3 linked regions of the Drosophila melanogaster genome follow. The protein of the gene in region 2 purifies or fractionates together with the protein of the main gene of each other region. This does not show direct contact. Each region holds a gene or a part of one and is shown on either strand. Other genes may lie near its edges. The genes, in order: RanBPM, CG14995 and Kaz.

Region 1 (12,287 bases), on a different chromosome or scaffold from region 2:
AACATGCTCACTTTAGTTTCAATAAATATTTTGCATCACTTTGTATGTACAGACATTTATTTTTTTATTATGTTTTGAAACTTATCTGGATTTTAAATAGCAGGCCACTCAAAAGGATCTCATGAATACAATATTTGAGCTTTAAGTGATACAAATAGAGATATATTTTTTATTTATATTATTGCAAATAATTATTAAAAATTCGCATACCTTTCATAACAATTGCAGTGCATATTCTCCCAAATATATTCATATTTAAAATAAAACAACTATTTTAATTTAAATTCGCCTGAGGTTTGAACGGTTAAATAAAATAAATGATTAATTCAACAAAGTGTGCACTTTCCAGCACTATTTATAGCAACAGCCGATTATTATAGCAGGAATCTATCGATTATACTTAACTTTCTTAGCCAACACTGTCGTTATATCATTGTTTTGGTCGTTTCCTAAAATGTTGCGGCAATTTATAGTAAGTTTATGGCCCCAAATGTAGTAAAATATAATTGATTGCTTAATTGGACACAGGTATCTACGGTAGGCCGTCGCCTGCAACTACCTATGATGGCCCAAAGTCGCCTCGCCAGCAATTTGGACAAAACTGAGTACACAACACCCGGGGAAATTGTGGACTACGATGATCCGCCGCATTTGCCAGTTCCGGAATATCCTGTCCGTCCCGATGAGCCGCTGGAAACTCGCAAGCAGCGGTATACGCTTAAAATGAAAATATCCCAAACTCCTACTTATGATCATTCATTATCTTGTGCAGCCTTTTGTATCAAAGCAGGAAACGCGGAATGCTGGAAAACGATCTCTTGCTGAGCACTTTTGTGGCCAAGCATTTGAAGGACTTCAATGCCGAGCAGACCGCCGAGTACGATCAGTTGATCAATGGTGTCAGCAACGACTGGGATATATTCTACTGGGCCACCGATACCAAGCCAACACCTCCTCAATTCGATACCGAAATAATGCGTCTGCTAAAGGAGCACGTCAAAAATCATGAAAAAGTGCAAAGGATAAGGCAGCCGGATTTGTGAACATTATAAACTATATTATATATATAAGCATACAAAACAATGTATTAAATGAATGTGTTATTCTACTCCTGATCCTTAAAAGACCAATGACTTGAACTTGCATTTTACCTGGTATTTAAAAACGATCATTTATACGGAATAATAAATAATACGGTTGCAAGTGATTTGGTAATTTGAATGTGCTTTCATTTTTATTTTTATTTGTTGAAAACTTCAGCTTAATCAACAAATCATGACATTTGAAAAGATACAATTTTAATATATAAAACTGAACACATTGTCAGAATGGCATATATTTAATCCAATTTGAACCCCCTTTAAAACACAGTTCTCGCTTTCCTGAAATACACATCCATACAATATATTTAAACGATTATCCAGTTAAATTCTATTCATGTTTGCCGAATGTGTGTATGACCAATCTTGTATATATAGATTAAATTTTAATACGCTTAAACACTATAGCGAAACATTACACTTAAAATGTTCATTTGCTTTTGCTTAGTCTTGCCACAAGACACGGGATGGCGCGGAGTCCATCGAAAATCGCTGAAAACACGGAGAATTAAAACGCGAATGTCTACCAGTTAACTATGGATTCGGTTCTATATTAACATGCTAAGGAGATGATTGAACAGCTTTTGCTCCAGGCTAGTCCCTTCACTATCAATTCTAGATTATATTTTGGTGTGTGATTGTTGTGTTTCGGGCGGTGGAAGCGAAAAACAAAGGGCTAATTCAATTTCAAGGGTCGTGTCGCAGCACATTTCGCAAATTTAATTATACATCATAATATTACACACTTTATGCTTAGAGAGGCTATATAAAATATATGTTAAAAGTTATTAAAAATCACGCCAAATCAAAGGCCGCCAAACGCATAGCATCTTTAGCATAATCGAACAATTAAAAGAACGGCGATTAGTTTTAAATAGGCGCACTGAAGCCGGTTGCGCAGGTAAAAAAGAAAGAGAACGGAAGTAACAACAAAATTTAACCTACTGCAAATTGTAAATAATCTAAATTTAGTCCAGTGTCTCGAAGAAGTCCTGCGGATCGACGAACATCGATGGGCTGCTGTTTCCGCTCAAGATTTCCGCTTCCTCCTCCTCCTGGCGAGCCGCCTCCGCTTCCGCTTCTTCCGCCTCCTCCTCCGCTGCCGCTGCTGCAGCCGCTGCCGCCGATGAAGATGAGCTGACCCCGCTCCTGCGACGACCCCGACGCACTGGTCCCGTGCCCGTGCCCCCGCCCACCGATGCCACAGCTGCCGACCGGAGCGTACTGCCCGTCATCACGGGATCGTAGGTCCGCGACGACGGGGCATCGGTATTGCTGGACAGGGAGGATTTGCGGCGACGTTTGTTACGCCGCCTTCGGCGTCGTTTGCTGGTCTGAACTGCCACGGCAGCCGTTGATGTGGAGGGCCCAGATCCGGTTCCGGCGCTGCCCAACGGTTCCGTAAGCACACTGGTTCGCGGCAGGGTCAGCGTGGTCTCGAACATCTTCAGCAGCGTCGGGGAACTGGGTCAATTTTGCGGGAACACATCGTCGATGGTAATGAAAGCGTCCTCGCCCAGCGAGTGCTGTCCGATCACCTTGATCAGCTCCGAGGCGTGAGCCACCAGGTATTCCAGCGGCGGACGACGCTCGAAGTTCAGGGACTCTGCATAATCATAGTAATTAGTAACTTCGTTTCGAGACAAGTGTTTAAAGACTTACCCAATATGGCCGAGTTGAGTGTGGTGGAAACACTCTCACGTCGCGAGGGACACAGCAACCAGCCCAGCGGACTGGACCAAGGATTAGAGTAGGCAATCAGACTAAATGCATCCTGTAACAACCATAAATTGAATATCTCTCGATTACGGATAATCATATTCTTATTGAAGTTATTTTTCAAATACAAAGAGTGCTTAGTCTGCAAGATACCAGTTTCTATTGTTTATACATTTTTATAGTTTACCTCCAACATTTGACGCTCCTCTTCAGTCATTAGGTTCTCCTTCTCCAGCTGCTGGCCCATGCTGGACAGTTCCTTGCCGAACTCAAGGATCTTCTCGATCACACGACCACAGTTACGCGATGAGGGGGAAACATCTACATCTGCAAGTGCTAGGGATTACGGATCTTCCCGGAAATGCCGCCAATAGATACATACCCATTTCCTCGTCGATGGCATCTAGAGAGTTGCGCACTGCGCTGGCATTGCCATTGGAGCTCGAGTCGCCGCCGTTGGAGTGACTCTGGCAGGGCTCCATTTCTACGTCCATGCTGTTGCTGTCGTGCTCCACGCACTTGTTGGAGTTGTCGTCAACCAACATGCTTGAACAGTACGTTGTGATTAAAGATCGGAGTAAGTATTACATTTGACTTACTTTTTTATATCTGGCCTATCGCCGCCTTGTGGCTTTATCACAGCTGGAATCGCAGTGTTGTTCTGTTGTTGAGTCTGATTTATGTTGACGTTGCCATTTCCACTGCCGCTCTTGCTGTGCTTGAACGTCTTGGTGGACTGTATCACTGACGTCTGGTTTGTGGGCATGGTCTGTGTGGTGGCGGTGACTTTGTTGTTCACGTTCTGTAAGACAAACCATCCGGTTCTACTTATCTTCCGCATGTAATGTTTAAAAACCCACCTCAATGTCAGCTCCATTGATCATCTCAATGAACTGGCGGCACTTCAATGCGAACCAGAGGTTTTTATTATTTTCCAGGAGTCCGGGGAAAGAACGTAGTGTATGTTCGATGGCCTGGCTCATTTTGCCAGTCAGTATAAGCTTAATGATCTCTGGAAGAGTGGATTTAAAGTTGGCATGTGTGTTGTCATTTCAAATGGCAAATATACGAACTTTGACGTGTCTTGATCGATGCCAAGTCCTCGTTGAAAGTCTGATTTGTGTAGCCATTGAAGGCCTCGGCGGTTTTGCTGAACGCATTATGCACCAAATAAGTGGAAACCAGGCTAAGCAATTTAGAAGTCATTGGGTTAAGCCATGATTTTTAAACACATTTAACAAAAACGCACCGATTCATCAGGTTTTCTGGGGTCTCCAGCAGATGTGGATATCGATCGATCTTGCGGAGCACATTGGAGCGCATCTCCTTCATCATATCGACGATCTTGTCGAACTTGAATGGTTCCTGACCAAAGTTGGCATCCACTTCCTCGCCAGGCGTCTGTAGGCCCACAGTGGGATAAAGCTTAGTCTAAACAAAAAAAAAAAAGATTAACAAACATAAAGTTAGAAGATAAAGTAGTTTTAAAATTCCATTGAATACGCACCGGCAAATCCCTAAATGCGATGCCCAGATCCACTCCGTTCTTGGTGTAGAAGCACGTGTTGTTCACAAAGTTGACGCAGCATCCAATCACATCGCCGGTGGTAAAAGTGGGGCCGTAGGTTTGGCCATTTCCCGAGGAGCTAAACGAGTTGCCATCGTCGCCGTGGTACCCGTACGACTGTTTGTCCCAACCTACTTGAGGGGGGGTGCGGTTATTAGGAATCATGGGCACATCTCGCCGAGCAGCACAATGGAACACAAACCTGGCAGGCGGTTCATACGGAACTGCTGGGCAGTTAGGCCAATGCCCATGTAGCCGTTGCGTCCCTTGGAGATTATCCGCACCTCGAAGTAGTACAGTCCGCAGGAGGACGGGATCGGATAGGCAGTGCGCACTGAGGCGGCATCACTGTGCTGCTTGCCCACACCTAAAAAGTCATGAGGTTTCAGTATTTGACAGATCTCAATTTTTATATGCTATAGCATTGCAGTAAGACAATATTCTTTTATCCATTCGGTATGAACTTCCTACTCTCGAACTTAGTACATGGGATATGTTCTTAACATAAATGAATGAGTTGGTTATCTGGACAATAAAAATAATAAAATTGATACTCTAAATAAAAAAACTGATTTTTGGCCTAAGTCTACGTCGAAACAATAATGAGACATTTTATCAATTTAAATGAAATATTTCGAATTATTGAGTTATATATTTTACCTGAAATTAAAGTAACCTAAATATACATTTTACATCTATGCAACGCACCATCTACGTAATAACTTATACATTTTACGCGCATTTTACATGTTATGTCGCACTGGTAAGCCAGCTGTTGCTGTTAGCGGTTTAACAGCCACGCGAATGAGCGTGGGAGAAGTGGGTTATGAAAAACAAAAACCACCAGTGCACAGCTGAGAGCACCTGTCTGTGCCCTGTGCGTGTGTGTGCCAGAGCGAGATAGAGCGAAAGAGAGTGAAAACTGCAGCTGCACTACGACTCTTCTTCTTTCTACTGCATTGAGTTACATCCTTCAAGACAAATATTAGATTTTGTGGATGGGATTTCGAATAAATAATAATTTCGATAATGCAATTAATAACTATGCAAGTAATAATTTAGTAGGGGCTAGCCTTATATTCGGGTGTTTTGATTTAAGGGCTAAAATATTGTATACTGTCTCTTTAGCTTTAGATCAATACAAATTTGAAAATGTAAGAACAAAGTCAAATCGTTGTAATAAAGATAAACTCCATGAACTCTGGCACTTATACCACCTGGATACTCATACTTGGCTACAGCGTAGACAAACTTATTACAATTTATTCCATATCTATGTAACTATATCTATGTAAGTGCATATTTAATTATTACATTTCATTGCGAAATTGAAATGTGCGTATTAGTGGCAATATGAAACCGATTTAGAATTGAACTATGACAGCTCCTAAGAAATCTGTATCTTATAGTTGCCTGATCGTTGCCTACTTTCTATTTTAGATGGTATGAAATGGAGAGTTGATTTATAGAGAAGTTCGAATCCTACTCACCCTTGTAGGTGACCCTCAAGTTGTTCTGCGACAAACCGATGGACAAGCACTTGTCATGGGGACTCCAGCACCTGGGCAGCGGAGTCTCGCTCTCGTTGACATTGGGATAGAGCAGCCTTAGGGGATCCACGCCCTGGTGCTGTGGCGAATTGGAGCTGGCGGCGGGGGTCGAGTGATGGCGGCGACCACCGACCCGCGGCGATGATGTCTGGGTGCTGCTGCGGGGATTGTGGCTGGGGAACATGTCGTTGCTGAAGTGACTGCCGTTGTTGCTGTAGAAGTGACGAGTGCGTCGCGAGAGGCTGTTACTGTTGCTGTTGTTATTATTGTTGTTGTGATTGCTGATATTGTTGTTGTTATTGTTGCTGCTCCTTGGGGCTCGTGAGGCTGAGGAGTAGCGCGGCAAAACGGCCACCGAGTGCAGGCGCTGGGCACCGGAAACGGAAGCGACTTCGCCGGCTCTGTCGACCCGGTCCTCTACCACCTCCTCCTCTTCATCCACCTCCTCGTCGTCGTCTTCGTAGTCGTCGATGCGCTCCACGGCGTTGGCGTCTATGGTCTCGGCTATAGCGTTTGCGTCTATAATCAGTGGCGGCTGCTGTTCGTTAAGATCCTGCGATCCGGAGTCCTGCTCGTCCAGATCTTCGAGAAGCAGCGGTGGCGGTGGCTCGGCTTCTGGTTCGATTTCGGGATCTCGAACTTGCGGCTCATCCGGTTCTTGGTTGGTATCTTCTCGTCCTAATGTCTCCCGGTTTTCCAGCGATGCTTGTGGTGGATGCTCTTCCGGATTCTGTGATTCTCGGTGCCGAATAAGCCCCTCTATGTGATGCAGCTCCTGGTTTTGCTCCGCTTGTTGATCTTGGTGCACTGCGGGATATTCTTGATTCTGTTGATCCAGCAATGGGTGCAGCTCCTGGTCCTGCGCGGGCGAATTCTCCTGCTGATCCTGCTGCAATGGTGGCGCCTCTTGCTGCTGCTGCTGCTCCCGCTCGTCCCGCTGCGGTGCCGTCGATGAAGTCGTGGGTGGCGGTGCAGTCTGGTGGAAAGTAGGAGTGGGTGAGTGATCATGTGGTGAATTCTCGCGAGCTTCCGTTTCAGATGCATTCAATGGGGGACTAGGGTGATCGGGATGGGGTTGGTCGTGAGAGGACGCGGGGACGGGCGGCGAGGGTGTGGGCGAATGAGAGTGTGACCGAGACGTAGAGGGGGCTATTTCGGCACCCATGGCTCCCGATTGAGAGAGCTGGTGAGAGCTGCTGCTGGCGCTGCTGTTGTTGCTATTGCTGTTGCTCTCCGAAGAGAGTGGCGGGGCCTCTTCGACGTTCTCCATGTTATGGTTGAGTTGTCGTTGTTGTTTATCTTGTTGTGGTTGCAAAAGGAGGCTGAGAGAGAGACGTTCAGCGAGGAATTAGAGAGAGTGAGCCAGCAACGAGCGAGCAAGAGAGAGCGGATGAAGTGCATATGCAGATGCTGTGTGTGTATACGTGAGGAGTGACGAAGGGAGGGGTAAGGAGGCTAGCAAACACAAACAACTTCCAAAATGCAATGTCCTTTGTCCGTTACACCGTTCACCTCATTCGCACTCTCTCAATCACTCGTGCACTCTCTTTCGTTAACTGACCCAAAATACAAACAACAACAGCAACAGCAGTTTACAGTTGCGACGCGCAGCTGCAGCACAAAAAAATACAACAGCAACAACTACAGCTACAAAATTGCATGCACGAAAATGCAAAAAATCAATAGCCAAACGATATTAGCCAATGCTTTCTGCACTTTTTAACATTGCTAGCAAGTCAGTTTTGATTATTCTACATTTGTAAATGCCTTTTTACGTCGTACTTTTCTGAAGTTTTCTTTGTTTTCCCTTCTAACCAACGAGTCACTGTCCACACACACACAAACAAGCACCAGCTCACACACTGGCAGCACTCTCTCCCTCTCGCACACACGCATATATGCATGCAGCAAGCACACACACTCGCAGCTCCCACACGCAGAGAAGAAAATTATCATTTTTTTTTAGCTGGGGCAAATGATCTTTGTTGGGGTTTTATTTAGCTGATGAATTCGATTTGGCTGTCATTCTATGCTGTTGATCGGATCTACAGTTGATATTTCCTTATATTTACCTTCAAACGATTGCTATGAGTTGTTAAATCTACGAAGTTTTGACTTTATGCTATAGAGCTGGAACAAAAGCCGATGTTCATTCGATGATATCGATATCTATTCCGACACCTGACAACATCAGAGTGCGCTCGGCAGCTATCGATTATTCTTATCGAATAAATCTCTTTAGGCGCCTAAATTCAAAATTTGATAAGCAGTAACACACTTCCCAAAGTGCCATTAAAATCTTAAAATGTTTTTAGGTAAAACCCTTGACAATACTTTTGGAGGGTATTATTGCACTATTGCTAGCAATCTTATTTTTTGGGTAAAATTAAACCTTACGTAATTCGTTATGTTTTTTAATGCTAATTTAATCTTTTAAATATTGGTTTAAATTATAAAAAAAGATCATATTATCTATTTTTAGCGCATACTTTACGCCATACCGATAAGAATATTAAGGGCAATTATTACTTAGAAACTTCTGCCTATGGTATAAAAGTATGACGAATGTCAAACATACGCGTTTTACATTGAAACCAGATTTAAAAATGCATCAGCGCAAAAAACTTTAGTGATTTCTAGTACTCTGCCCAGAATGTAATTAAGAGATCGCTGCACTGGTAAAAAAAACCGCCATAAATTCAAAAGATTCGATTCGATTGACAGACTATCGATGCTGCAGAATTTACCGGTTCGCTCTACGGCTTCTCTCAAATGCTTTGACACTTTCTATCTCACTCTTCTAATCGTTCTTGTTCGTTTCGCCTCAACCTTCACTCTGTATTTTAGTTACTTCCTTTCCGAATAGAAATCCTATCACGTAACTGATAATAAACAGTGGAAAATTACCACACGTCTGGTGTAGAGACGAATGTTGCTGGATTCTTGATTAGACTTTATACACTAGCACAAAAACTGTACTTGTAACTTATGAAACACGATCGAGCTACTGGGAGGGAACTCTTCTAATTAAACTTATCAATTGTTGCATTTTTGGTATCCATTATGACTAGATATTGAATTTTAACCATATGATTCCTATTTGGGCTGCTTTCATGCGTACTGTCTTTTGCCTTCTGAATGAGCGATCTGCCCATCCGACTTCCCAAATCCATTCCATCTTTATGTGTGACTTACTGAGAGAAAACCTATGCTGGTGTGCTAATTTTCGATAGACCCACGCACACAGTCTCACGATTTCACTCGCTCTTCACTTTCAATTAGAGGCTCGTTTTCTGTACGTGAACGGGAGAGCCGTGCGATCTATGGAAGTGTGCGATTTTTGCAGGCACTCACAAATACCATCACGTTGCTCGCCGCTCTCTCGCTCTCAATATCCGCCTATCGGCGTGGCTGTATGTTTGCAGGTGTTGGTGCTTCGCCTCTGTTTACCAACACCATTTAACATTTAAATGCGCTCTCGCTCTCTGTTTATGTTTGGAGCCGGCAAAACCGTCAACTGCATCAAATCAGCTGTTTTGATACTAGATCCTGAAGGAATTGGTTCTGGACTGATTGATTTATTCGAACAAGTTTAAATTAAAAGAAATATGCGAAACTGTACTTCATTTTGCGTTACATCTAAAATGTGTTCGTCACAGAGTCCATTTTTGTGTGACGCCCCAAACAGGTTTTTTTAAGGCCCCTCTTGAGGTTCACACAAATATGGAGACCCCGTACGAGGCCTCATCTTTCCCCTCACAATGTCCCCAATTATCACTGAGTTGTTTGTTAGTCTACCCGCAGCACCACGTACTATACATACAAACATACATATGTACATATATGATACGATAAGCCAGCTCCCGTTCTCTGTCTCTATCGGTCCCCTTTCATCAAATTGATCCAGTCGGGTATAAAAGACAGCGAGCTCTCCCAGTCAGTATTCAGTAAGCAACAAGTGTGCGAGCTAATAACAGCTACCAGCTGAGCAACTAACAAGTTTTTTTCCAAGTGAAACTAAAAATCAAACAGCAAGATGCGTTTGGGACAGACCGTACCTAACTTCGAGGCCGACACAACCAAGGGGCCCATTAAATTCCACGAGTGGCAGGGCAACTCGTAAGTGCCATCAAACCCTTTTTCTCTGATCGAATCTTACCAATTCTCCTTCGGATCGCCAGCTGGGTGGTGCTCTTCTCTCACCCCGCCGACTTCACTCCCGTCTGCACCACTGAGCTGGGCAGGATTGCGGTGCACCAGCCGGAGTTTGCCAAGCGGAACACCAAGTGCCTGGCGCATTCCGTTGACGCATTGAACTCGCACGTGGACTGGGTGAACGACATCAAGAGCTATTGCCTGGACATTCCCGGGGACTTCCCCTACCCGATCATCGCCGACCCTACTCGCGACCTGGCCGTCACCCTGGGCATGCTCGACGAGGAGCAGAAGAAGGATCCCGAGGTGGGTAAGACCATCCGCGCCCTGTTCATCATCAGTCCGGACCATAAGGTGCGCCTCTCCATGTTTTACCCCATGTCCACTGGTCGCAACGTTGAGTAAGTACCTCTTTCTGGCTACAACTATTGTTAATCTCAACTGACGATCCTGTAATCTTACAGCGAGATTCTGAGGACCATTGACTCCCTGCAGCTGACTGATCGCCTCAAGGTGGTGGCCACTCCCGCCAACTGGACCGTAAGTTTTTCTACCCACTTAATGCGAACTGTTCCGAACTAATTAATTCTGTTTCATAAACAGCCTGGCACTAAGGTCATGATCCTGCCCAGTGTCACCGATGACGAGGCTCATAAACTCTTCCCCAAGGGATTTGATAAAGTATCCATGCCATCTGGAGTAAACTACGTTCGCACCACTGAGAACTATTAAAGACCTACATACCTGCATGTATTTTTCTTCCTGTTGTGCCATAAAAAGTTAATTACTGCAAAATAAAAATTTTATATTCTGAAACTATTAATTAAAAACTTTCTTATTTTAATAAAAATTATTTTGTCAGCTTCGCTTTCACAAAATATTACAAAACTGCGAATGAATATTTTTACAAAATATAATAAAATGAAAAAATTGTCTCGCAATATCGAAAGAAAGTCGCATAGCAGCGTTCATTCGCACAGACATAAACCGCCAAATCGACTCGTCTAGCAATCGTGATCGAGAATATATATACTATATAGGGTAGAAAACGCTTCCTTCTTTCTACTTGTTACATATGTAAATTGCTCTACTGGTAATATAATGCAATGCATTTTTAGTCTTGAAATAATGCTATAGTCGAACACCCCGACTATCAGATACCGAACGCGAAATTTCATCATTTTTCTGAGATATCGATATTGGGGCATAACATGAGAATAAATTTTAAAATTGTTTAATAGTGTGGGTGTGACCGGTTTGGTGGCTTTAGGGCGTTAGAGTGGGCTGGGCAATTAGTTTTTTGCAAATCGACAGAAACTTACAAGACTAATATAAATATATACTAAATTTCAACACATTTTTCAAAAGTATATAAGTGTGGGCGTGGCAGGTTTGTGCAAGCCACTGGCACTCTAAGTGCACCCGCTAAAATATGGATGTCTAGGCACCAGGGTGTTTTTTAAAATAAAATAAATAAAAAATATCCGAGAGTTTTGCCACCCTGGTGTTTTGTGGTACGAGCAAAAAAGGGTCTCATTCGAGTGATCAATTTGGAAATATAACAAACAATATCCTGAATCGCACTTCTGACAGCGGAACCTAAATTTTTACAAAAATAGATTTTTCTATGAGTTATTTTCGGTCTAATCGATAGAAATTTACAAGACTAATAAAATAATGAAAAGAAATCAAATCATTTTTAAAAGGTGTGTAGGCCGGACGGACAAACATGGCCAAATCTACACTGCAATTGATTCAAATAAGGAAATGCTTCCTATATTATATACTTTTCAATGAGTAACCGGCTATAAGACTACACAAAGCAAGTGCACAGTAAAAATTGAAATAATATAAAATACATAACGCCTTCTGTTCTGTTAAATACAATCTTTATTGTACACTAAAAACTTGTAATTATAATTTATTTACGAAGTAGTATAACAAGGTGATAAGATAAATAAAATGTTATAATTTTCTGTGGTACTTACATACATAGTTTACTCCTCATCGGTGACATTTGTAGATTCATGACCTTTGTGCAAGGCTATTTGGGAATCGGATATCAGATTATAGCGTTCTTTCTTGCTTTTATAATTTGTTTGCAATTTTGAAATATATTGCTAGCACACCAACTAGCTGAAAAATGGATAGTCGAGTAAATCGACAATAATATTTTGTGAAAGCAAAGCTGACAAA
Region 2 (9,368 bases):
TGAAGTGGCCAATTGCCGATGGCCAAAAGCGTGCCATGATTTTGTTGCCCACCCAACTGATTGAATAGGTAAAGAAAATATATTTTTCTACACTGAGCGAATTGTATTTCCAAATTATCATAGATATGTAGAGAGAATCTCTCAATTCAATGAATTTCTATATACTTTCTATATACTCTTCTCCCTGTGTGGACACCTAAAACATCTTTTCCTATTTCGCAGTGTGGGAAATGGCAGAACCAACTGTCTAAACTTAGCCAGGAAGATCGCTAAATGGCACACGAGTGCATTGCCTTAGTGAATGTCTGGTATCTGGAATTCGTGGCACTATAAATAGTTCGCCAAATAAATCAGGCCAATCGGGAGTAGGACCAGAAGCAGGAGTGCCACTGCTTAAGTATGCATAATATCAATGTTTCCTCTGAAGAGTCAAGGTTATCTAGCACTTGAGGCCTACCACCGAATGTGGAAATAATATGGGAGGTAAAAAGAAAAGTGCTTGCAGCACGCAAGTCAAATCAATATGCACACTCATGCAACGCAGGGAAATGGGTAGGAAAATGGTAATGAGCAAAATGGGCGAGTATACTGCCAAGAAATGGAGACTACGCCAACGCATTTTACCTGAAGTATGGTAAACCAATCTGATTTATGGCTCATTCATTGCGAACACTACTCCACGCCTAGCACAACAAATGCTCCACAAAGCAGGGAACCCCACGTAAAACACTACTATCCATCGGTTTGAGACTGAAAGGTTTTCCTTGTATATTGTTTAACCACGTAAAGTAATGCAAACAGAGCAGACTTCTATAAGAAGTTATTGCCCTCGGGCTTACACGCTTGCCATGTCAATTTGTTATCAATTTATTCATTCACGTTTGTATATAGGAAACGCGTACCATTATCTATAGACTGATATATGTAGCTCTACGACAGTTGAGTAGTTCTCGATTGCGGTAATAGCTTCCTGATAATAGAAGTGCCTACAGAGCTATCAAGTTAATTCAGTTTCAAGAAGCAACCCAAAAGCTCTATTTTTTTGGCGAATTTAGGGCACAAAAATGTACTCAAGATAAGCTTCTATTATTTTAAGAACATATTGTTTACATATTTAGCAATGCAGTAGCAAGAAAAAATATTTTTTCAAATATCTAACAGACTTACATATATTTTTATATGACTCATTGAGAAATAAAGATACGAAAACAACTTGCCAAAAAAGGAGCACTTTTGCTTTTGATCAAGATCGGTGTCAATTCATGTTCAAGGTTATTTTATTTATACTTTACTTCACCCCATGAATATATATGATATCCATATTTGCTTAATGTTGGTTTTTTCTTATTCTGATAACTACTACACCTCCTTTGGGATTTCCTGTTTCTAATGAAATAAATATATAAGATCTAATTTCTGTTTAAGGTGCGATATCTACAACTTCAATACCATAATTATAGCTTCCTGTTCACTGGGTCGACATATTATTCGCTTCATCTGAAATAGCTGATTCGCCCATACCTAAATTATTATTTCCTGTTATTCTCACGGTTCTTTTCCCCTAAGTTCAATGCCAAATCTCCCTATAAGGCCACGAACTCTTGTATATATGCACCTCCATCTATATCTGTTTTATGCATAATTAAACGAATCGCAAGAGTCGAGAGTTTTCAGCACATTGCCAACAGATGACAGAAGTTTTTGGGGGGGTGAAATGGATTTCGGCGACCTTGGCAGTCAAAATGATTGTCGCCTTTTATGGCAAAAGTGGCGAAATCAGCAAAAGCAGCAGCAGCAGCAGCAGCACATGCAAACTTATCGAGCGACATGCAAGTACAACAAGTATCCAGCAGTACCAGATGAGGTACAAGGCACAGCGAGATACAAAAGTATCTAGCAGATACGAGTCATAACTATAGTATCTGCCCACTACGCAGTGTGGCCTACGCGACTTGGAAAAGTACGCGGCCAGTTGCTATTGCCAATTTGGGAGCTCCCACGACTTTTAGCTTATTTTCTGTAGTTTTCTGCGTCCCCAGCTTTTTGCATTAATTACGCGCTTGAGCGTGCCAAAGTATCTTTCGTATTTGAGCTTGCCTAATGATGGGGCGATGACATCACTGGAAAGCAAATATCTCGCTAGCTTTTTAATATATATATCTCTACCGCATTCTCTCGGCGGCGAGCCGCACACTTTGTATCAATCAAAAGGCACCGAGTCAGGAAATCAAAATGATCCTTATAGAAGAAATATTTCACGACTTGTGACTTACCTAAGAGCCAGAACTTCCACTCCACGCATTCGCTTGATGATGGACACATCGCTGAGATCACTGCCCCTGAAATAAGCACAGAATAGATGGCATTTTAATAAAGATAAATAATGTACAGTGGAGCCCTCTTAGCAGGCAACACGCTTATCGCAGATGGGTCAAGAGTTGGGGGCCCATCACGGAAAGTAGTTCAACTGCTTTTCACGCTTTTCCAACCGTTTTTCTCGAGGGGCGCGTGTTTTTCCAGTCCAGGAAATCGTGACTCGCTCCAAAGTGGACACTTCTAAACTGGTTAGAAGATTGCCCCTGGAATTGGGTCGAGTGAAAGCAGCCGGAGCGACCGAAGTGAGCAGCAAAGTGGGCAGATCCCCCAAACCCCAGACACCAGATCGCAGACCCATTCAACACAGATCGAAGCTTTCACTATAGTGGCTGCACCTGCCCCAGCACGATTAGCAATAGATCAATGCACAGGCGAAAATTAGATCGAAAATCGATGAAATTAACAGTGGGTTGAGTCTGAACAATAATAAACAATTAGTCGTCCTAACTTTGCTAAAGCATGATTAATATGCCGCTGACTAAAAATTTACAAACAATCTAGTTATTGCACTAATGCAAGCATTCCTTTCGTTATTCAGTATGATATGATGATATATTCTATAAATATTTCTAGTTATTTGGGCTGTCTACTTACCAGCAATTTAGCTTTTTGATCAGGGACAAATCGGATTGCTTGGCCCGCGCTATCACCATTTCCTCGGTGAGTCTCGACATTGTGTGTACTTGTGGCTGTGATGGTGATGGTGATGATGATGGCGATGCTGTTGCTCCAACTGGTGTTCAACTGACCCGTGGCCACAGGTGTGCCACTTGCAGATTCCGGCTATATAATGATTGTGTATTCACAGCCGATGGTTAAACGCGTATTTACTATAAGCCGCTTGTGAATGCCCAATTTTAGATGCCGAGAGGTGAGCAACAATGCAGTACAGTGAAATAGCTACAACAGGTTATGCCTTGTTGTGGTAAATAATTTCGTTTTTGCTTTTGCTGCTATTATTGTTGTAATCACTGGCGTGTCGTAGGCGTTGCTTTGTTGTTGCTGCAATTTGTTGTAATTACGTATGTCTTCCAGTCTTCAAGTTGCTCTGAGTTCGGGTTTATCAACCGCTTAATGTTGGTGTATTTGCTGTAGTGTGGCTCCTTTCCACAGCTACAATATTCGTTAATTGCCAAAAACGTTAGGATTTATCGTTAAGGGACCGAACAAAATGAAAATTTCTTGTGCTTTTCGGTTTTTTTCAACTGACTAAAATTTCGATGCTAGACTGCTGTTTTGCTATTGTATCTGATGTTTTGTATCTCGAATCTCCTGCATGGATGAATAAGCCGCTCGGGTTGTTGCGCCGCGCTTTTTTTTATTATTGTTACGAGTATGTATATGAACGTAACACACCGCTTAACTACACTATGTATATGTGTGTAACTCAATTGTTGCTTTCATTCTGTGGTACGGGAGTTTGTCAAATTTTTACATTGCTGCATCGATTTTTTCGTGCCGAGATGTTTTTGTCCGAGAACTTGTGGGTGTGTGTCTTATTTCGAATTTCTTAACGATATGACTATTTGAAAAACCCTGGGCCGGCACTTTCAATTCGAAACTGACAGTAGTACGCGCAGCTAACTTGATTAAACGAAATTCCGACTTTTTCAGTTCCGATTTTCCTATTTTCCATGCACCGTTTTTCGTATCTCGCTCTCTTACAGGTATGTGTGTATGGGCACGCGAAAGTGTATGGGTGGGTGCCAGAGCGAGAAAGCAGAGACGCGCGTGTTTTACACAATACTGCACTATTATACACTATTAGTTGTTTTTTCGAATACGTGCGCTCGGCTCAACGGCGAAAAACAATCTGGGGGCTTTGAGGCCTCTTTAGCCGTTCAACTGGAGCTTTCATTGTCTTTGTTTACGAATGCGGTGTGGAGAAAAAGAGCGGAAAGAGCGAAACAGCGAGAGAGGAGGAGAAAAACCAGTATTGTTTTTATATATGCATGTACTTTTGCTTTATAACAAATTAGTTAACTGGAACATGCGTTAATTTAAATTGATATTCATAATAGCAGATTTGCTTTCTACTAAAATTATTAAAACAACAGAACTATATTTTTCGTTACGATAACTTAGAGATGACCATTGGGCCGGTGTGACCCCCATTTCTGGAAAAAAATAAATATCGATACACTTTTCATATTTGTACCCTCATTTTAAAATATGTGCTTACTGTTAACATGTGGTTACGTTAATAATGTTTCGGCCTTTGATATTTTTGCTTAGTATTAATATGACAGTTCCTTTCTCGTCCTGGGCCACAGGTACGTATGGAATAAGCCAATTCGAAGAAATAAATGAGGAACAATAGTGCCAATCTCCACGACTTCATTGTTCTTTGCCTGTCCGATATTATGATACAATACAATTGATACAATACAATAGATTGCCATACACAAATTCGTTTCAAGTCGAATACGAATTATATTAAATCATGCGAATCTAATGTATTAGGTATGCCCTATCCACGGTTCAATTGTGAAAGTAGAATTTATAAGAATGTATGGTGGTTAATATCTCTTGCAGTAAGTTTAATAACAAAAAACTAAGCACGAGAATTAACGGTAAATGGTATTGCTTAATTTTCGATGTAATTTTTAACAAAATTTAAACTATACTTCTTACCATCCGTTCCGATAAGTTCGATTTCGCTGGCGCGAACCATCGATATGCGCAGACAAACGGTCATACTGCTCTGCTGCTGGTTTATTTATAAATTAATTTCTCTCTATCTCGGCTCGTTCGCTTTGTCTCGTCGCCCGCGACGTGTTGTTTTGTGAAAATTTGCATCGCATTTTTGAGCGCGTGCATTAGTGTTCGTCGGTGTGTTGATGTGCGAGGAAAAGAGCGAGGAAAACGCTGCGAATTGCGATTGCTAGAGAGATCGGGAAAACAAAACATCCCAAGCAGCAGCAAGCAAGCCATCAAAATCGTAACCTTGGGCGTGTGTTAATCAAGTGATCCGTACATCCCCGCCTCTCCCCCCCTTTTATCATCATACATACCACCACCATCTCTACATCCAACGATTTTGATCTGGATTACTCGGCTTGTTGGATTGTTGGGTCTGTTTCGCTGGCGTTTCTGTTTCCGTGCAAACATCTGGCGAGATAAGGGCCTATATAGTTTCGCCACCGCCACAGTCGCAGTCCCCCCCTCTCCGCTCCCCGCCAGCCAACGACAACGACAAGAACAACAAAAACTTGGTTGCAAAAACGGTGCTGAACGTAAGTTGAATTACGTCATCGTTTCGAGGGCAAATTTAGACTCTGATTGTGCCATATATATACACTATACAAATATACCCGCAGTTATAGTTTCGCCTTTGGACAGAAGAGACGCCCGCGCATCGGAACTTTTAGCGAAAGATGATTCATGTGGGCGAAAATACGTGGAACCTGCGGATCCTCATCACGGATCTGCAGGTGGAGAAGACGCTGCGCGTGAAGGGTGACCAGCACATTGGCGGCGTAATGCTGAACCTGGTGGATCCGGAGTTGCCCAAGGATTGGTCCGATCACGCCCTGTGGTGGCCCGCCAAGAATATCTGGCTGACCAGGACGCGGTCCACTTTGGACCAGGCCGGAGTTCAATCGGATTCCTTTCTGCACTTCACGCCCATGCACAAGACACTGAGGGTGCAGATGCCCGATCTTCGTTATCTGGACTACCGCGTCAACTTTTCGGCCAAAACTTTCGGAGCCGTTGTGAGCTTGTGCAAGGACCTGGACATTCGCTATCCGGAGGAACTGTCTTTCTGCAAGCCCCTGGAACCGGAGCATCTGAAGAAGAACTTCTCCAAGCTGCCGCAGCGAAAGATTCCGGTGGCGGAGGCAAATGGAATCGCATACGTGCAGCCAGCGCTGGACACCAACTCCTTTGTCCCGATCACAGGAGCCTATAACGGTAGCAATGGCAGCCTGGATCGCTCGCACAATGGCAATCTGCTGTGCGCTCCGGCTTCACCGTATACCCGACGGGCAGCCACTGCTCCGGGAACACCCATCAGCTCGCCCACGGGCACCTGGAAGCACAACTCCACTGGCTATGCTAGCTACGATTCCAACTCTAGTTTCGGAGACCTCCAGGAGAATCTGGCCATGTCGCCAAGGTCGCCCAGTCCGGATGTACGAGCACGCTTGGTTCGACCCAAGTCCCGGGTGGAGAAAGCCCGTCTCAACGTGGGATGGTTGGACTCGTCCCTTTCCATCATGGAGCAGGGAGTTAGGGAGTATGACACTCTGTGCCTGCGCTTCAAATACTTCACGTTCTTCGATCTGAACCCCAAGTACGACCAAGTGAGGATCAATCAACTGTACGAGCAAGCCAAATGGAGCATTTTGAACGAGGAATTGGAACCCACCGAGGAGGAGACCCTCATGTTTGCCGCCCTGCAGTTCCAGGTGAATCATCAGACGGATCTGCATCCCCCAGGCATCGATTCCGGAATAGATACCTCCAGTCAGGAGACTGGCGGCGAGGACGACATTGACTCCGCTCTCAACGAGCTGCAGATCACACTCGAAGGACCAGGAGGTGGCAAGGATCAGGGCAACATCACCAGGATACCAGAGCTGTCGGACTATTTGAAATTCCTCAAGCCTCAAAGGTTCACCCTTAAAGGATACAAGCGCTACTTCTTCACCTACAGGGATCTGCATCTGCACCTTTACAAATCGCAGGATGAGTCCAGGCGGGGAGCTCCCACCATCAGCATCAATTTGAAGGGCTGCGAGGTGACGCCCGATGTTAACCTGGCCCAAGGAAAGTTCGCCATCCGTCTGGAAGTTCCGTCAGAGATCAGAAATGGTCCGAACAGTGAGGTCTGGGTGAGATGCGACAACGAAGAGCAGTACGCCAAGTGGATGGCAGCCTGTCGTCTGGCCGCCAAGGGTCGCTCTCTAGCCGATAGCTCTTACGACAGCGAAGTTAGCAGTATTCGCTCGCTGCTGCAGATGCAGAAACCCGCCCAGGGAGCTCCGCTCACCGTCAACCCGCGAAGTGTTGAGCCCATGGATTACCTATCGCCCAAAATGATGCGCAAACTATCCAGCAAGGCGGTGCAGAGGATCCTAGAGGCCCATGCCAACGTTCGCCAGCTGAGCTTAATGGACGCCAAGATGAAGTACATCCAGGCTTGGCAATCTCTACCAGACTTCGGTGTTACTCTCTTCATCATCAAGTTCGATGGACACAAGAAGGAGGAGCTGTTGGGCGTGGCCAACAATCGTATCATGCGCATGGACCTCAACACCGGCGATCACATAAAGACCTGGCGCTACAACACAATGAAGGCCTGGAATGTTAACTGGGGCATCAAGTGCATGATGATTCAGCTGCAGGACGAGAACATCGTCTTCTCCGTGCAGTCGGCCGACTGTAAGGTGGTGCACGAGTTCATCGGCGGCTACATATTCATGTCCATGCGATCCAAGGAGAACAACCAGACGCTGAACGAGGAGATGTTCCACAAGCTGACGGGCGGCTGGTCGTAAACGGATTGGCGCAGTCTGGAGCATTGGACTGGAGTCTTGAGTGCCAAGCACAAACCTCGTCGCATGTTCTACAGTTTTATCTACATATATTTACCTAATGTAGGGTGCGTTGATTTATGGGTTGACTGGTAATCTGTGGACCACACCAAGCAACTTCTTCGTAACTCTAGTTGTTAGTTTCTCAATGTTTTTTTTCTGTTCGGTTTATCAACCTAAATACGTATATATTTTGTAAACAACTTTGACGGACTAGTGTCCGACACCAGAAGTTGGTTTTCTTTTGTCGGCATTTACCTAAAAAAAAAAATAATTAACTTTATAAGTATAAGTCTCTTAAATTTGTGTTGTCCAAGTTGTCCAAGAAGTTGTCCAACGATTACCTACATTTTTAATCAACCCAGTCAGTCAACCCACCCAAATCGAAAGCGTTCGTGTATAAGTGTTAATGGAAATGGAATTCTAGACTAATAACAATCACCACGCTGATAACGATTATGATAACGATGTTGTGCCTTCGCCAGAGCAATCTTAACCCAAAACAAGTCCAAGTCAATGTCCTGTGTTCTCTGTGTTGTCTGTTTCTAACACAGCGTTAAAGTTACACTACTTAAGTCCATTTTTTACCACACTTGTGCGGACTTGCGCGACTAACCCGCAGTTTTATATATTGTATATTTATTAAACAAATTAATAAGCAGAATAAATTATTTTATATGTTTTTAATGACCGTAAATGGTGGCTGGCTTGTTTGTTTTTACATATGCATTCCACTGGCAGTTGGTAACCCGAGTCCACTGGGATTACTCATCCAACTTTTATTGACGCGCTGTGTGCTTCTGAGGGGCGTTGATGCAACAGTCAACGCGTTTAATATAAAGCACGGGTATTGTTATTAATAACAGCGCACTCAATTGGATTGATAAGCGCACCACGGCGTTGTACAGTGGGTATATATGGGGATTCGAGATTATAGGCGTGCCGTGCTACGCCATTGATTGATGGCCGCGACCCAAAGCTACGTATGTGCCTCGGAATGGGGCAACTTCTCACGCAATGGCTGGCGAAATCTTCAATTTGATTTAATTTAACGGGGTGACTCTTAATAAGGAAAATGCCAGATATGAATAGCGCATGACAAATAAATACCACTTCCAAGTATTATCTATAATCAAAAAAAAAAAAAAATGCATTTTAATATTTGCTACAGTCGTAAGTACTTACATTACTAATGTAAGCTGACTTTAGTAAAAAAAAACTATGATTAATGCAATCAGCGCCCACATAAAACCGAATTCTTATAATTCAACATTTGAATCACAAGATGATAGAAACAAATTTGTTTTTAAATGTTCTGCACTCCTGTGATAAAAATTGACATGATTAATATAGAAACAATTTTAAGGAATGAAAAAACAAGCATTTCACATTTATCTTCTCTAAAGAAAAATAATACTTCTTGACACTTGCACAAAAAGATTTAAGTAACAG
Region 3 (8,633 bases), on a different chromosome or scaffold from region 2:
TCCACTACCCCAACCTAAATAATTAAGGGTACATTTTTTGACTAAATTCAAAGAAAACAAGAGAGAGAGGGATCACAACGATAGCATTCGTAAGAAACGATAGCATTCGTCGTGATCCCTGACTATCAGATACCCGTTACTCAGCTGGGCGGTTTGAAAAAAAAGTTCGATAGAAATTTTTTTTGTCTACGTCTCTGAAATCTGCGGGCCCAATCTTTCTAGCTTATATAGTTCCTGAGATCTTGAAGTTTATACGGGCAAAAAGACAAACGGACATAACCAGATTGACTCGTTTATTGATCAATAATATCAACATGGTCCGAATAGTTTCTTTCTGCCTATTATATACTTTTCAACGAATGTAGTACACCCTTTTAGTCTAGTAGTAACGGGTATGATTACGCAAAACACTTATTCGTACTGGCAAAAAAAAATTTTTCATGTACATACTGTATTCCCCATGTCTGGCCGATTGGCATAACAGTTGATATATATTTAACAGGAGGACGACTCCGAAGATGAGAACTTGAGCAACGACCATTCTGAGCGATAGAAAGAATCTAGTCATTGGTGCCTTGAAAAACAAGGTTTATATTGTATTTTATATGTAAATAAAAATGTTGATATAAATAAGTTGATAGAAACAAGAGGTCAATTAGGGAAGTCTCAAAGTGATAATATTATTTGGAAAAAACACAATTCCCCCATGGCACATAGACGTAATTTCATTTCTTACGAGTATAAATGTGTTTATATTTAGCATTACATTATAATTATTGGAATCGAGACAATATGCATGTATATTCGACTGTTATGTATTTGCTGGAATATGCTAAAATATTTATGCTATCTTCTCTTGGACTAAAAATGCACAAACTGAATGCTTCACTTCCATCAGGAATGCAATGCAGGCAGCCCAGTCCCTTAACTGGTTTGCATCTAAAAGGTGGCCCGTTCGCGAAGTTGGCCACAATGCTACAACGCTCAATAGCTTTGGACAACTTGCTCAGGTTCTGCGGTTTGCGGTTGCGGTCGCATCGTAATCCATCGCTGAGTATTTAGCAGGTGCAGCGATTCTCGCCGGAAAGGCTGCCCAGACTGAAGGTTCCTAGGCCATTGGAGCCGGGTGATTTCTTGTCTTTGCTCTCATCGTTATCAAAGTTGTCCCCCTGGGAGAAATGTGAAGGATTTACCTATTAAATATTGGGTTATTTTAAAGCATCTTACCCGCCGCTCCCTTTGCTCGCGGATTTTACGGGCCAGGGACAGGAAGGCATCTTCGATATTGATGTTGGACTTGCAAGACACTTCAAAGAAGGGCATATCGAAGTTTTCGGCAATCTGGAGAGAGCATAGGATGGTGTTATTGGTGTCGATGCTGCACTTCCTGCAGTCACTTACCTTTTCGCCCCTCTCCTTGTCCACCATGCGCTGGGTGGCGGAGCACTCGCATTTGTTGCCCGCCAGCACCTTTACCACGTCCGGCGAGGCGTTCTCCTGGATGTTGCGTAACCAGTAGGACAGGTTGTTGTAGCTCTCCAAGTTGGTCACGTCGTACATGAGTAGGATGCCCATGGCGCCCCGATAGTACGCCGTGGTCAATGTTCGGAATCTCTCCTGGCCAGCCGTGTCCCAGATTTGCAGCTTTATGGGTACTCCATCGAGGTTAATCAGCTTCTGCTTGAAGTCAATGCCTGGGAGATAAAATGTGATGCTAGTGGGTTACTGCACATAACAGCCGAGGTAGAAATAATAGTTTTCAAAACAAATGGAAAACGTTAGGATTTAAAAATTCAAAATCAATCAAAATCAAACAAGTGTCCGATTTCGAAAATAGTAAATAAAAAAATTTATTTTCAAATTTGAAAATAGTATTTTGGGGTCTCTACTCTACTCTCTACTCACCTATCGTAGAGATGTATGTGTCGTAGTACTTTTCATCGCAATATCTGTGAACGATGCAGGTCTTGCCCACATTGGAGTCGCCCAGCACCAGAACTTTATAGGTGGCCACAAAGTCCAGTGCCATGTTGACGGAGCTGGCGGAGTTTTCGTTAGGAATTATAATATCAACTGCGGAGGTTTTCGGTTACAGATGGGTTGACGTTGTTGTTATTGGTAGTTGGGTGGTGCAAGTGGTGGTGGTGGTTCGGTTTTGGCTACGAGGGGTAGTAGCGGGCTGCAGCTTGTGCTTGTTTATGTATCCGCTGGCCTGGCTTGTTTGTTGCTGCTCGCAGCTGTTCCAGATCGAGTTGCAGCGGCGTCACACGGATTTGTTGTAAATTTTCACAGTTTCCACAACAGAATCAGCTCGGAGCTCATGCTAATTGACAAGTAGCTTCTGGCATAAGTCGTACGATTTAACCTTTATTTCATTTGTATTTTAATGTAATATATAAGTGGTGTTAGTTGTGCATAGTGTGCCACTTCGGAGGCGGAGTCGAATTACGCCGTATGCGTGAATCAACCTCGAAGCACTGACTGCGAAACAAACCAGCCCGTGGATGCGGAGTGGAGTCAAATAATCAATAGACCTGCGCACGCGCAGCAGCAGCAGCATTCAGTTGCCGAATAATCGAAATCGGAATTCAAATCGAGGGTGTTCGCGGGTTCTCTAGCTTATCAATAGTAATAATATTAGACATACAATAGATATGAAGTTACATGTTCAAAAATAGAGTTGTTCATTGCTTAACTTAGTGCGGTTGGGTAGGAAGAGGGCGTCGAATCCAGTGCCGCTTACATCACAAAGACCTTTTCGACCTTGGGGTTGGAGAACTTCGTATTGGTCACCGGACAGGTGACGGTACCGTCGTCTTTGGTGATGTCCGGCAGAGCCATCTGACCAAAGATCTGTCCGTTGGGCAGCATCATCGGCTGATTGTGCTCGTTGAGCGGCAGCCCTGTGACCCGGCATATAAGACGGCTCTGCACACAGTGCGAGTATGGCAACTTGAGAGCGATGCGGTTGAGATCCTCCTGACACACCGGGCAGTTAAGGTTACGGCAGGTCTGAGCATAGCAGTGGGGCGTCTTCAGGGCCGACAGACCGGCCTGCACGGCTGCCGAGAAGACGGACGTGCTGGATAGCTGGAAGAGGCGGTAGTTCTCTTGACGGAAGTCCAACACCAACTTTTGCCACCGCTGCGGATCCATGTACTTGCGGTAGTGCTCGGCTTGGGCATCGGCCGGATAGGCCAGCAGGGCCATCACGTGGCAGATCTCATTCAGCTGAGTCTTCTCGTATGCGGGGAAGTAGCGACGCGAATGCTTCACAGCCTCAAAACGCTGATTTTGACGCACGAGCTCGATGAACTCTTGCACCCTCAGGCTGAATTCAATGGTCGAGTTGATCTTGCGGAGCTTAGACTTATTGTCTATGCACCAAAGCACGCATTTGGTGGTGCTGTGACTGGCCAAGTCATCCTCGACCTCGCGCGACGTCTGAAAAATGTCCAGGTTGGTCAGGTGGCGCACATCGGACTTGGCGGCCAGCTCCTCGGCCGTTTCATAGTATCCCATGCGCAGCAGGTGCTCGATGACCAGGCGGTCTAGTCGGATCCGCTTCCATTGGTCCACGGAACCCTGCCACAGGTCGCCTGTAACGCTGCTTGGCGGTGTAATGCCCTTTAGGTGGTCCAGCTTGCGCTTGCAGATCTGTGTGACGCTCAGCTCATCATTGATGCTCTCCTCGGCCTTGCGCTTGAGCACCTGCAATTTCTGCGCTACGTTATCCACCAGCTTGGTGACCTCGGCCAGAATGGGACCCTCCTCTGCTTCTAGGGCCTTTTCCACCTGACGCGATACATTGATCACCTGGTCCACCTCCCTGTCGATGATCTTCTGTGCCGAACGGAAGCGCTTGTTCAGCATCTCGTATGGCACTTTTAGGGTGGCGTGCTCCAACGCCTTGATCTCGGACATTTTTGCGTTTCGGTTGCGATGCAATTTGGTTTTATCCTCTTTTTAGAGACGCAATTGCGTTTTCTTTTCCTTCTTTGAATTGCTTTGTTTTGCTTCTGTGGGCTAAGAGTTGCCAGACTGTCAGCAGTCAGCTTAATGAGCAAAAGGTGCTGTTCAGTTAACTATTTTCTAACGCTAATTATATGATTACTAATAGATGTATATGAATATGATATATAAACAAAAGTGCGTATATTAAAATCTTATTGATGGTGTCCTTCTAGTGCCGGGATGCATAGCAACCGATTTCATAATGTTTTAGAAGTTCTATAATATTTAAATAAATTTAGCTATACTTCTGTGTGTTTTCCCGTTAAACTTCTAGGCAGCTCTAGCAAAGTGTACAGCGCTGTTGCCGCACTGTTAACTAATAACAGCTGATTGAAGCCCAGTAAACATAAACAAATGTTTTTCTAAACATTTTTCTAACGAATTAAAGATAATAAATATACATAATCTCCTTGGGATTACATAAAGACTAACTTGGCAAAGTAAGTAATTGAAACTATTACCTTACCTATATGGCAAATGAAAACTAATTTTAGATGGTTAAAGCAACTACCAGAGGTGCGACTTCCAAAGCAACGAAAGCTGGATCAAAGGGAGCAACGAAGGGAACCAAGGATAACTCCAAGCGATATCGTGACAAAATCAAAAAGGATCCGATTAAGTATCAGGAATACCGAGCCAGAGAAACCGAGCGAAGTAGGATTTATCGCAGCAAACTGAAGGAAGTGGTTAAAAAGAACAAAAAAGTTTTAAAAACAAAGCGAGAAACCGACCGACTTAGACAGCAAAGATATCGGGAGAAAAAGAAGGAGGAGCTCGCCAATCAACGATCATTGGAGGAAATGCTGAAGAAGCTGGAAAAGTCACTCCCAGCCAAGATGTCCCGAAAGATTGAAGTGATCAAGCTATTGTATAGCAAATACGTTGAGCCTGAAGTCAAGGAATCCTAAATTCCTTTGATTGTGGTAAATTCTGAAATCTGGAAGAGCTGTCTTTAGACAAATATAAATATCTACAAGATTAGGTTAAGTATACATTTTTTTAATTATTAAATGGTATTGCCACATATCTAAAGGGATTGTTTAATGTCCCAATGCAAAAAGTACTTTTTGAATAAATCTGAATAATAAAAAGTATTTTAAAGCAAATAATTTGTAAAGATACTATAGTTCAATTCACGAGGCAGTTACTTTTATGGTATGATATTAATAATTCATTTCGTTTCATTTCATGAAAAAGTGATCTGCAAAATTCTCACAACTCTTTATGGATGATTCATTTTGACCATACACTAGCCGGCTCACTCTAATTTCTTGCAATTAGCATTACGACTAGTTGGAGTTCGAGAGTTGACCTAATGTGCTCCGCCATGTAATTAATACGTCTGCTGGAGGGAAAAGTAATCACGAGTCCATGCAAAATTGCATAGAATTAACCTCCTTTTATGGTACATTGACTTTCGTTCACGTTCAAGTGGGCCCCGATAATTAGTCATAGATTAGGTGTAGCCGCCCAGGTGTACGTGCGAAAATTGAAAATCCATGAAAACCTGACCCATGTCCGCAGGCCAAATGCTGGGACTTTGGTAAGTAATTTTTCATTCCCGGGAACGGAAGTTACTCATTTCGGGTAAATTTGGGACACGTGCCGTGCAAAAACGCGAAAACAAACAAATAAACAAACATTTTGTTGGAACATATGTCCAGGATGTGAGGTGTAACTAGTTGGATTACAATAGTTCGACATGAAAGTGTTGGATTTTGTCAGCATTTGAAATTGAGAAAATTAACGTCCAAATACTTTGAAATATATGTTTATTACATTTGATTTAACTAACATATTTATTGTGAAGGATCTTTTTGGACTATACATTTCTACCTGGCTGCAGGAACCTTATCAAGATCATCCTAAGACTTCCCTTTCCCAAACGGAGCATAACCAATATTTAAAACCCATTGCATCCGTCCTTCACAAGCAGTGATTATTCCCAAAAGGTCAGGCGCTTACATCGAGATTTCCCTAATGACAAACAATTGAAAATTGCATGTCTGAGAAGTCCTGGGTTCCTGGGTTCTGAAAAATTGCATTTTAATAATACAACCGGCGGGAAGGCGATTAAATTCAGGCACTTCTTCAATTTGAATTCCAATTACAGAACGTCACTCAGGCCGACTGACTTATACACTACCTGATCCACTTGACAAGTTCACTGCTCCTGGGTGACACAAAAACTTATTAGAATAACTTAGTGAGCTGCATTTGCATTGCCATGGTTTTTGCAGGTGTCCAGTTGGTGTCGAGCAAGGACTCCATGCCCGTGGAGAACCCGCCTGGGGAAAGGGTGGGTCAGTTCGGATGGTGCTAGCTGCTAACCTAACCAATTGGAGCTCGGTGGTAAAGCCGAGAGAGAGCCGAGCCGTTTGGTGATGTCATGGATTGCGTGCAGCGGAGCCGTCATCAATGGTCCTTCTCTTCGGGACCTGCTACTTGGGCAATTTAGTTGTAGATGTTTTCGGCCCTTTTGGGCTACCATAAGAAATGGTCGTAACCCATAATCAGTGCGGCTTAATCGTGTTCCACCGCCGGGGCAGCCTACGGCACTCCATCCCAGAAGTGGAGGGCACCTCCTGCTCCTGCCCCTTTCCTTCGCTGCCGTTTCCTTCCTCACTGACCACATTGCTTCGCTGGCCTGCATTGATTTTTTTCGCGCAGAAGTAGGTACTCCATTCCGGCGTTTTTCGGGTTTTTATGGTCACCTCTAGAACTTTCACTTTTTGATGTGCGTAAATTTGCATATTTGTCGGACGCCAGGAAGGGTGTGTGCACTGACCACTCCACTTCATCTGACCCGATCCCTTTCCTCAGTTCTTTTGGGTGAGTAATGAATAGCGTCCGATGATGATGACGCCTTGGATAATGAGTTTTTGGCTTCGCCTTTAGATAGGTCACTGGAAACGTCATGTATTCATCGAAATTAAATGGGTAGACATTAAATTTACCAATTAATATTGTTGTGATCCTCCAATTGTATGGCCCTTTCGGTAGAGTTTCTGGTTAGGTTTCCCAGTTAATAGCCTCATAAAAGATATTTTACGATCCTTTAGTTCATATGCATTTAGAATGCTTTTGTCTGAAGCGGCGACCATTTTTGCAGTTATTGAATGAAATGCGGCTAAAAAATAATTGGATTGTGTTAGCGGTATGACTTTTTATTGTTTTTCTGATTGCCTTACGCTTATATAATTTTAACAATTTCTTATGTAGGCCAAACAGACCAACATTACTAGTTGAATATGGTATTAGAATGTATAAAATTCTATGACTTTAATGTAGATCGTGTACAACTGTTTACCATCCAAACGACACTAAATTCCTCGACATTTCTCAAAATGTTGCTATAATTATAATTCCTTTTGGGGATTAAGAACCTTATGACGTCCTAACCTGACCACGCATGAGTTATTAAAATAAGTTCGTGAGCACCAACATTTCGTAGGTATTTTTATGTTTTCACTAGCCTGGCGTCGCCTTTAGTCCTTTTAGCCAACATGACATGCGAATTGGCCAAGACGAAAGACCCCCAAAAGTGTCGCCCCATTGCTAAAATCAAGGTGTGCATTAACAAATGAACTTGAAATAATCGTTATACGACTGGCCACCCATATATTTAGCATGCATTTAGCTGCATTCAGCTAGCTGGCAATGTGGCAATGTGGCAATGTGTCGAGTGATAAATTGGGAAAGTCATGGAAAGGTTATTTGGTCAAGACTTGGCCAACAGACAAGGCTAAAACAAGTAACAGCGGCTATCGAAGAGCTCGCCTTGCGGCGCATGCAACATTCGGGGGCAGGAGCTGGCAGTCCTTTAAGGACTAAGCCATGTGGTGTGTGCATGTCCTGGAACGCACGAAAACAAACTTGCATGCAGTGAGTGAGGTAAGTGAGTGTGTGTGTGTAGCCGCAATTAGACGTGGCCATAATGTGGAATTAAGTCCCTTAAATTGGCATTTTTTCGAGGGCCTAATGCTCCGCACTCTGAGTTATAATCAGCAGTAATATGATGACCTCTGGGCATGAGTGTACAGCTCGATGAGATTTCGTGAGAAAATTATATATCGCTGGTAGAAATTCTACAGTCGCACTAATTAATCATCAGTTAAGAGCAAAAACATGACGCCCAAATTGTTGAAAGCGAATTAGTTCTTTAATTACGGTGGTCTTTCGCATTTTCCTTGGAGAGGGGAGGGGGAAAACCCACTGGCGGCGCCTACGATTCGCTGCAGTTTCTGATTTGGCGAAAAGATTTCGTGAGTTTTCCATATAATTTTCCTGCTTGTTTTCCGTTTCTCTGCTGTGCCCGGCAACATTTATCAATAATGTCAAGAAATAAATATCCGAAATAAATTTCAGACTCTGCCGCATGGCGAATTGAATGGACTGGACTGGCTGAATAATAATTAAAGGAACTTATTTTTACATGTAAATATAAATATTTTCCATTCCGAATGACGCGGTGCGGCGGGATTTGCGTAAATGGAGAAAGTACTATGGAATAAATCATTGTCAAGTCGGCAAATCTAGAAAAACAATTACGAAATCCAATATAATTAGTGCCTTTTAACTTATTTAAATAATTTTAAGTACATCCAATTCTTTAAAAT

The links.
Region 1: the proteins of CG14995 (region 2) and RanBPM purify together in Drosophila melanogaster (affinity purification with mass spectrometry, with the first as the bait; one large-scale study listed by BioGRID). This does not show direct contact.
Region 3: the proteins of CG14995 (region 2) and Kaz purify together in Drosophila melanogaster (affinity purification with mass spectrometry, with the first as the bait; one large-scale study listed by BioGRID). This does not show direct contact.

The regions. Positions count from the first base shown.
Region 1 is NT_033778.4:10,425,505-10,437,791, reverse strand, and holds RanBPM (Ran-binding protein M), read right to left. Parts: upstream 8,081-12,287; 5' UTR 8,009-8,080; intron 7,788-8,008; exon of another isoform or gene 7,719-7,787; intron 7,259-7,718; 5' UTR 7,207-7,258; coding exon 5,877-7,206; intron 4,754-5,876; coding exon 4,589-4,753; intron 4,521-4,588; coding exon of another isoform or gene 4,518-4,520; coding exon 4,327-4,517; intron 4,251-4,326; coding exon 4,069-4,250; intron 4,006-4,068; coding exon 3,893-4,005; intron 3,832-3,892; coding exon 3,680-3,831; intron 3,622-3,679; coding exon 3,419-3,621; intron 3,366-3,418; coding exon 3,202-3,365; intron 3,156-3,201; coding exon of another isoform or gene 3,147-3,155; coding exon 3,007-3,146; intron 2,875-3,006; coding exon 2,763-2,874; intron 2,707-2,762; coding exon 2,570-2,706; coding exon of another isoform or gene 2,069-2,569; 3' UTR 1,211-2,068; downstream 1-1,210. Other genes in the region: CG12895 (uncharacterized protein), read left to right, coding at 455-472, 529-710, 773-1,043; CG12896 (uncharacterized protein), read left to right, coding at 9,973-10,055, 10,118-10,492, 10,556-10,631, 10,695-10,823. UniProt on the Drosophila melanogaster protein: May be involved in JAK/STAT signaling. Isoform D is required for the proper arrangement of niche cells and is autonomously required for proper niche cell size, isoform C negatively regulates the adhesive properties of the niche.
Region 2 is NT_037436.4:4,098,507-4,107,874, forward strand, and holds the start of CG14995 (uncharacterized protein), read right to left. Parts: upstream 4,455-9,368; 5' UTR 3,051-4,454; coding exon 2,971-3,050; intron 2,709-2,970; exon of another isoform or gene 2,675-2,708; coding exon of another isoform or gene 2,490-2,674; intron 2,340-2,489; coding exon 2,274-2,339; intron 1-2,273. Other genes in the region: Fit1 (fermitin 1), read left to right, coding at 5,754-7,880.
Region 3 is NT_033777.3:24,825,931-24,834,563, forward strand, and holds Kaz (katazuke), read right to left. Parts: upstream 4,030-8,633; 5' UTR 3,925-4,029; coding exon 2,740-3,924; 3' UTR 2,349-2,739; downstream 1-2,348. Other genes in the region: RabX4, read right to left, coding at 1,059-1,169, 1,228-1,341, 1,402-1,694, 1,906-2,029; CG43273 (uncharacterized protein), read left to right, coding at 4,509-4,922.